Linked DNA regions of Ovis aries. The protein of the gene in region 2 interacts with the protein of the main gene of each other region in a pairwise test. Links are inferred from orthologs where the notes say so. Each region holds a gene or a part of one and is shown on either strand. Other genes may lie near its edges.

Evidence for each region.
Region 1: the proteins of EHD3 (region 2) and MICALL1 interact in binary tests that used the Homo sapiens proteins (3 or more experiments, as listed by UniProt). The link is inferred for Ovis aries from reciprocal best matches to the Homo sapiens genes EHD3 and MICALL1.

Annotation. Positions count from the first base shown.
Region 1 is NC_056056.1:215,557,571-215,561,249, forward strand, and holds part of MICALL1 (MICAL-like protein 1), read left to right. Parts: intron 1-96; coding exon 97-512; intron 513-3,643; coding exon 3,644-3,679. UniProt on the Homo sapiens protein: Lipid-binding protein with higher affinity for phosphatidic acid, a lipid enriched in recycling endosome membranes. On endosome membranes, acts as a downstream effector of Rab proteins recruiting cytosolic proteins to regulate membrane tubulation.
Region 2 is NC_056056.1:38,031,446-38,035,614, forward strand, and holds the start of EHD3 (EH domain-containing protein 3), read left to right. Parts: upstream 1-1,266; 5' UTR 1,267-1,767; coding exon 1,768-1,994; intron 1,995-4,169. UniProt on the Homo sapiens protein: ATP- and membrane-binding protein that controls membrane reorganization/tubulation upon ATP hydrolysis. In vitro causes tubulation of endocytic membranes. Binding to phosphatidic acid induces its membrane tubulation activity.

The DNA.
Region 1 (3,679 bases), about 180 Mb from region 2:
GTCGAGAGCGAAGTGTCAGGCGAGGCCAGAGGGCCTGTCTCTGCGGCCTGTCTCTGCCCCCTCGCTCGGCACCCATTCGCGGTTTGGTTTGTGCAGCTCTCCATGCCTCCCGCCTGTCCCGCTCGGAGCCGCCTTCAGCTACCCCATCGCCAGCCCTCAGCGTGGAGAGCCTGTCGTCCGAGAGCTCCAGCCAGCCTCCCAGTGAGGAGCTCCTGGAACCACCCATCGTGCCCAAGAGCTCCTCAGAGCCTGCCGTCCACGCCCCTGGCACCCCTGGGACCTCTGCCAGCCTCTCTGCCAACTCCTCCCTGTCTTCTTCCGGGGAGCTGGTGCAGGCCAGCATGGACCGGATGCCTCAAGCCAGCCCTGGGCTTGCCCCCAATGCCAGGGGCAGCCCGGGTCCCCCACCAGCCAAGCCCTGCGGTGACACTGCCCCCAGCCCCCTTGTGCTGGTTGGAGACAAGAGCCCTGCGCCTTCCCCTGGAGCCTCATCCCCGCAGCTGCAGGTGAAGGTGAGTGTCTGCTGTCCTGTCTAGCGGACGTGGGCCTGGTCTCGGGGCAGGAATGTCCAGGGCTGGCCATCGTTGCTGTCCCTGACTTGTGGGGTGACCTTGGCTCTGCCCGTCTGGCCATTCATCACTCCATGCACTGAGGTACAGCTCCCTCTCAACATCCTTTTATCCGCTGGCCAGACCTCCTGTCCATCTGTTTACCTGTCCACTTGCCCAACCTTCCATGTCTTGAGACATCCAGCTCTTATTTACCTGCCGAGCCCATGCACGTGCCTGTTGGAGACACACACACCAGCCACCACTCACCCACACATCTTCCATCCGCTTTCCATTCACTGAAGCCCTATTTGTGCTAGAACCTGGCACAGCATCATTGAGACCCTGTCCTTGCCCTCCAGGGGCTCACCCTCTGCTCAGGGAGACAGGCCTAGACGATTGTCCTTCCACCTGGGGTAGAGAGCACAGAGGGGAGGGGATGGTGCCCTTCTTGGGGTCGCGTTCCTTCTCCAGAGACCTCAGTCTCCCCTCCTATAGAACGGGGCTGATGGTGTCGATGGAGTCGCTCTTGTGTGCACGGGCTGGCCTGGGCTCCCAGGGTGATGGCTGTGGTGGTCCTTGTCCCCAGGTGCTCATAGCCAAGTTGGGGGTGGCGCACCGAGATGACTGTGCCTTGTGTGGAGTTTGTAGTGGGGTGGACTTGTAGCGGAGAGGTCAGCTCTCAACAGGCAGAGGGCCCAGGAAACAGCTCTGCTGGGAGCCTCTGTTGTGGCCACTCTGGGGGTACAGACAGCCCCTGCGGCCGCTCCCTTCCCAGGCCCCTCCCAAGCTGGCCCCACGCTCCGTCCCCTCCGGGGGCTGCAGTGGGCACCCGCCCCTGGCAGCTTGTTTCCCAGATGACCTTTGTGATTGGTGGAGCACCTGTTTCTCAGGGCCCCGCCAAGAACCAGGGGTCACCGGGGGCAGGACACTCCTCTGGGCACCTAGTTTACCAAGAGGTCTCTCCTTTGCGCCACCAGCATCTTTTTCTTTTCTAAAATATTTATTAAAGGACCAGAGTCCCTTTGTGCCACCAGGGTCCTTTTTTTTTTTTTTTTTTTTTTTAAATTTTTATTTATTTGGCTGTGCCAGGTCTTAGCTGCAACACGTGGGATCTTTAGTTGCACCATGCAAACTCTTAGTTGCTTCATGTGGGATCGAGTTCTCTGACCAGAGATCGCGCCTGGGCCCCCCTGCAGAGTCTTAGCCATTGAACCAATAGGGAAGTCTGAAGCCACCAGCTTCTTTTTTAAAAAATTATTAATTGATTATTTTTGGTTGTATTGGGTCCTGTAGCGTGCGGGCTTTCTCTAGCTGCAGGCGCGGGGGCTGCTCTGTTGCGATGTGCTGGCTGCTCTTTGCGGGGGCCTCTCTTGTGGCCGAGCGCAGGCTCTTGGCGCACGGGCTTCAGGTGTTGCACGCGGGCCCGAGAGCGTGGGCTTCGGTAGTTGTGTGCAGGCTCAGTTGCTCCGAGGCATGTGGAATCTTCCCGGACCAGGGATCGAGCCCGAGTCCCCTGCGTTGGTAAACGGATTCTTAGCCACTGGGCCACCGGGGAAGTCCACCAGCGGGTTCTGATCCTGCACTTGGTGCCGCACTCTGCAGTCCTTTGAGGGCCTGGGGCTCACCTGCCTTGGGTGGAGGCTGGCCCCAGGCTGGCTGTAGTCCTGATCTGACCAGCCTGACAGAGGATAGTCTGCAGAGGAGCCGGAGCTGTTGGTTTGTGCACCTTTCAAATGCCATCTAACCTTCTTTGGTCTGGGTGACCACCCCCAGCCCAGCTGTCACCACCTGCTGTGTGTCTTGGACAAGGTCCCGCCTTTTCTCTGGGCCTCTGGATGTTCTTAGGGGTCCCAGGGTTCCTTGCTGAGTGGGTGGAGGAGAGCGCTGATTGTGAATCCCCCCCATCCCCACTACAGGCAGCTGGCCGTTTCCTGCCTTGGGGTGTGTGAAGGGTTGGTTTGAAGTTCTGTTGCTGAGAACCCTTGAGGGACTTGGGGCCTTCGGGCTGTCTGACCCTGTTGAGGTGCTCCAGGTGTGATTGTGGGGGGTGAGGGCAGAGCCCCAAGGGGGCTTCCTCCTGGGGTGCCCCATCCCTTACCCTCACCCTAGGATTCAGAGGGAATCTGAGACATTGAGGGCGGGAGACAAGGCCCTTGGGTAGGTGCTGCCCTGCGGGGACCAGACTATCTCCCAGCCGCGCCTGGACTCCTACGTCAGCTCCCAGAGCAACTAGCAGCCTCAAAGAACTCCCCCTCCCCCACCTGAGCAGCTGGCACAGGTGAGGTGAGCAGCTCTCCCCTCCCCCTTCCTCCCCCAGCTCTTGGAAAGCCAGGTCCTCCTGGGAGCACTCCATGGCCTCAGGGACGCCTGTTTCCGATGAGCTGGGGGAAGTGGTGGGAAGATGCTGGCACTGCCCTCGTGGCAGGCAGGGTCTGTTCCCGTGCTGGGCCTGCCCGCTCTGCTGGCCTCAGAGAGGACAGAGATCTCCCTGGGGAGGAGCAGTGTAGGATGGGGGCCTTTCCTGGGTAGGGCAGGGGCTGCCTCCCTCTACTGAAAGCGGGATTCCGCTTTTGTACTTCCTGGCTGGGAGACCCTGGGCAAAGTGCTGAGCCCTGTAATCCCTGCTGGGAAAGGGGTGTTGGTGAGGCCTGGGTGAGCTACCATTGCTTCGTCCTGCCCTAAACTGCACATCCTGACCACTGCCCCTAGCGCCGGAGGGCTGCCCGGCCTGAAACAGACCAAGTCACACTCCAGCTTGGGCCCTTGGGAAGAATGTGACCTTGGGCCAATTACTTAACCCCTCAAAACTTAAGTTTCCTCACCGGTAAGATGGGCAGACATGACCCACTTTGTGGAGTGGTTGTGAGGATTAGACAAGCGTGTAGAACAGCACCCAGTGTGGCAGCTGCACATGAGGGGTGCTGGGAGGTGGAAGTCTTTGTTGAATGACTGGGTGCCTCAGACTGGATGCTGGGAGATTCTGCCTGAGTCCCACCCGCCCTGCTTTCCGTGGATCCACGTGATCAAGCTCCCAGGGTCCCACTGCCCCTTCCTGACTTTTAATATCTTCTGTCATGTTTCCCTGCCTTTAGTCTTCTTGCAAGGAGAATCCTTTTAACCGGAAGCCA
Region 2 (4,169 bases):
TATGCTTAGTCATTCAGTCATGTCAGCTCCTTTGTCCATGGGGATTCTCCAGGCAAAAATACTGGAGTGGGGTGCCATGCCCTCCTCCAGGGGATCTTCCCAATGCAGGGATCGAACCCAGGTCTCCTGCATTGCAGGTGGATTCTTTACCATCTGAGCCACCAGGGAAGCTATGAAGGTTAAATGAAACAATACCTGAAGGGAACTTAGCCCAGGCCCCTTCACATGGTGAGCATTTGGTCCATGTTAACCATGATTAATAACAACGTTATTATTGATTCCTTATTCCTTCTGTGATTCCTGTTTCTGTAAAACCTTTTCTGCCTGGCCTCAGTCACTCCCTCCCATCCTCCTGAATTCCATACTCTTGGTAGCAAACTGTTGACTCTGCCTTCACCCACCAAGTTCTTCCATGTTCCCCTACCTTTGCAAGTGCCCTTTACTCAGCCTGGAATGTCCCCCTTCTTCTCTATGGGTTCATCATTTAAGATCCAGCTCATAGTCAGGCTTTCTGTGACACCTTTCTCAAATTATCCAGACAAAAAGGATGTGGATGCCTCCTCCCACTATGCACCCAGGCCTTCTGTTCCTATCTCCTCTTAAAACCCGGCCTGGCTGGAGTTCCTGGAAGAGAGAGACTCTATGTGCTTATTTTGGTGATCAAATTTGTAACCACAGTCACCAAAATCGTGCTGTAATACTGGCTTAATATTTGTGGACGTTTTGCTTATTTTGTTCGATTTTATTGGAAGGAATGAACAAATGAATGAATGAGAATAGTTTAACTTCACCTAGACCAAGCAAAAAGTTTGGGTGGTGATAGTGTTGGTCATTTGGGGCGGGCTAATATTGGACTCTTCCTTCCATGCGCCAAGAAAAATATTACCTAACAATAGAGAACCTGTCATCCTAAGGAACTGAACTCAGTAAAGGGAAGCCTATATTTAAGAGCAGGGAGAGTGTGAAGCAGGTCAACTCTGTCTTCGCAGCTGTCCCTGAGAGGGCGCTGTTCCCAAATTAAACCTCCAGAGGCCGGGAATGAAATACCAGAGCGTTCCCACAGAACTCAGCATCCCTCCCTTCCCATGCAGCGAGCGGTCGCGGGTCCCCAGTGGGGCCACTGCCCACAAACATGGCGGCGCCCTGCTCAGCTTCTCCCCGCCGGGGCCGCAGGGCAGCGCCAGCCTTGCCAGTACTCGGGGACTTCCTCCGCGAGCCGGCTTCCTGCACGGCTGGCATTTAAACCCGCGCCTGGGGCTGCGGGCTGCGGCTGCAGATGCTGAGCTGTCCGCGGGCTGGGCAGCGCCGCCGCCTCCTCAGAGCCTCCGGGGCGGGCGGGAACAGATTAGAAGCATCCCTTAACTGCACTCGAGCCAAAGTGGGAGAGAGCTGGGGGAGACCGGGGGACCCGGCATCTGACATTTTAATTGCAGGTTTGACTTTTTTCCCAAGATCGCAGCTCTCCCGCCCAACCCAGATATTTTTCCTCTCTCCGGCCTTGGTTGCTGGATGAAGCCGGGGCTGGGCTTGGTCCCAGGAGCAGGGGAAGAGCGCGTTCGCGGTCCCACGCCGTCGACCCGGGGACCCCCGAGCCCTGCGTCCTGGCCATGGTGCGGCTGAGCCCGGCGCTCCGGTGAGGCTGCGGCGCGGTTGGGAGCCCAGCGGGCCCTCCCTGTGGGACACCTTCCCCAAGGACCCGGGGTCGCAGACTCCAAGCCCTCTTGCTGGGACTGCGCACCGGGGGCGAGCAGGCGAGCGGTGGCCGCGATGTTCAGCTGGCTGCGCTCCGACGACCGCCGGAGGAAGGACCCCGAGGTCTTCCAGACCGTGAGCGATGGGCTCAAGAAACTGTACAGGACCAAGCTGCTGCCCCTGGAAGAGCACTATCGCTTCCACGAGTTTCACTCTCCTGCCCTGGAGGATGCCGATTTCGACAACAAGCCCATGGTGCTGCTGGTGGGCCAGTACTCCACCGGGAAGACCACCTTCATCAGGTGAGCCAGCCACGGTACCCCAGCAGCCCACCCAGCTGCCCAGCGCTAGACCCTCTGCTCTCTCCCGATGTCCCTCCTGGGGACAAGAGATAAGTCTTCACTTGAAATCTCTGAAGAAATCCTTGTAGGGGGGTTGTCCAAAACTTACCCTATAATTTCATTGGATGGTCCCTTGCTCCATCCTACCTAGCACCTCTCCACTGCACTCAGCCCATGAAGTGTAAAGTTCAGAGCCATCCCTATGCTACCCATTTTATGGATGGTGAAACTGAAACCCACGAGGCACAAGTGAGATGTATCCTGGTCACAAGAATACCTTAGGCTGGTGGGGGTGTCTGACACCATCTCCTTGTAGGGACATGTGCTTGATGGTCAGGACCAATTCCCTTGCCTTATAAAAGCTTCAGTCACTCACATGGGGGCTTTACAGTTGCAGCTGAGGAGGTGGGCCAGGGAGCCCACTTGTCCTTCTTTCATCAATTTCCTTTTCCAATCAGAGCTCTTTACAAATATCTCTCGTCGACTGGAGACAGTGTCTAGAGGCAGAATGCTATTTTGTTTCCTGTTGATCTTCGTGGCTCAGTAATCATATTAAAGTCTTTTGGAGGTGGACAGAATATTGGCCACGGTCTCAGGCCACGGTCTCATCCAGCTCCTTGACTTGGCAGGCAAGATAACTGAGGCGTAGAGAGGTTAAATGAATTGTCCAAACCATATAACAGGATGGGAGGCTGACCTGGGATGCGGTCCTAGATGCATGGGAGGAGATGGTTGGCTCAATGCCTATAACTTTGAGGGTGAGTCATCCATCCCCTTGAATTACAGAATCCTCGGGCTGTAGGGATCCTCAGGAAGTCAGCTGGCCACCCGGCCTTCACGCTTATTGTCCACCAGAGCGATAAGGACCTTTCCTATCTTTAGAAGACAGGCTTCTCTCCAGCCCTCAGGCCACATAGCCTTCAAGGCCAGGCCATCTTCCTTGGTCTCATTCACACATTCACAGGCCTGAAAGCTGTTGAGGGTGCTCTGTGTTGAGTGGCCCTCTGTGTTGAGAGTCAGGCTCATAGAAAGTGGTGATGGATTCAGTTCCCCTCTGCCCCTGCAGAGTCAATGGTGCTCATCTCCTATGGAAGGTTTCAAAGCAGGGACGCTCTTGTTTCCATTCATTGACCTGCAACATGCAAAGCACTGTGCTTTGTTTGGTGAGGAGAGCAGAAAAGTTCACAGTCTAGTTCCTGATTTTCTAGATTCAAATCTTCCCTAGTGCTAAGCTTTTAACACAAGCCTTCTGGGAGCAGGGCACACACCATATTAACATGACATGTCTGAACGGGACATCAGCTGAGTTTTTCCTTGTGGGGTGGACAGCCTTGGAGTCACTCAGCTTGAGGGGCTGAGTGATTTCTAAAGTTGGGTACCCAGGGGGATTGTTGGCTTTTGGAGGTCTTATATTGTTAGGACCCTTGCAAAGGGTCCTACCTGCAAGGACCCTTGCAAAGAATCTAATTCATTGCTTCTTAACTTTTCAAAAAGTCTGTGAACCCATCTTTACAAAAAAGTCCCTACATCCCAAATTTACATATAATTTTGGGAGTCCAAGCCTTGGACCTTAGGGCAAAAACCCCTGATCTAATCCATCTCCCTTTTTTGGTTAAATGCCCATTGCAGCCAAAGATACTTCAGAGCCTCCTGGTTCTGTGCTTTGTAACATGCATCTTCCACCTGGCCCCATGGGAAGCACAGGCCATTTACAGATGGCTCCTGCCCATCACGTGGCCTTCCCCAGCCCTCTGGCCACACCTTGGTTATAATTCTTTGTAGGTTGTTTAGAACATCTCCTTCCTGTGGCACCAGCACTTACTGCCTAGCTCCCTGGGTCCTTGCTTGGGGGTCTCTGCTACAGGAGCTCCCAGTAGACATTTGCAGAATGGGAGGGGAGGTGGGGAGAAGCCAACATCCCCGAGGGCAAGATCCCAGAACAGCAGACGTGTTTAAGTGCCTCTTGTCTGAGACACTCTCCTGGCTTTGCCTGAGTCATGCTGGCTGTTAACTGGGTCTAAGAAGGTGGCAGAGCCGAATTGCTATAGATTACTCCTTATCTGAGGGAGACAGGAAGGCTGGGAGAGGCAGAGCCCTCCTCTTTCTTATCCACTGAGTACAAGCGTTCACCCTCCC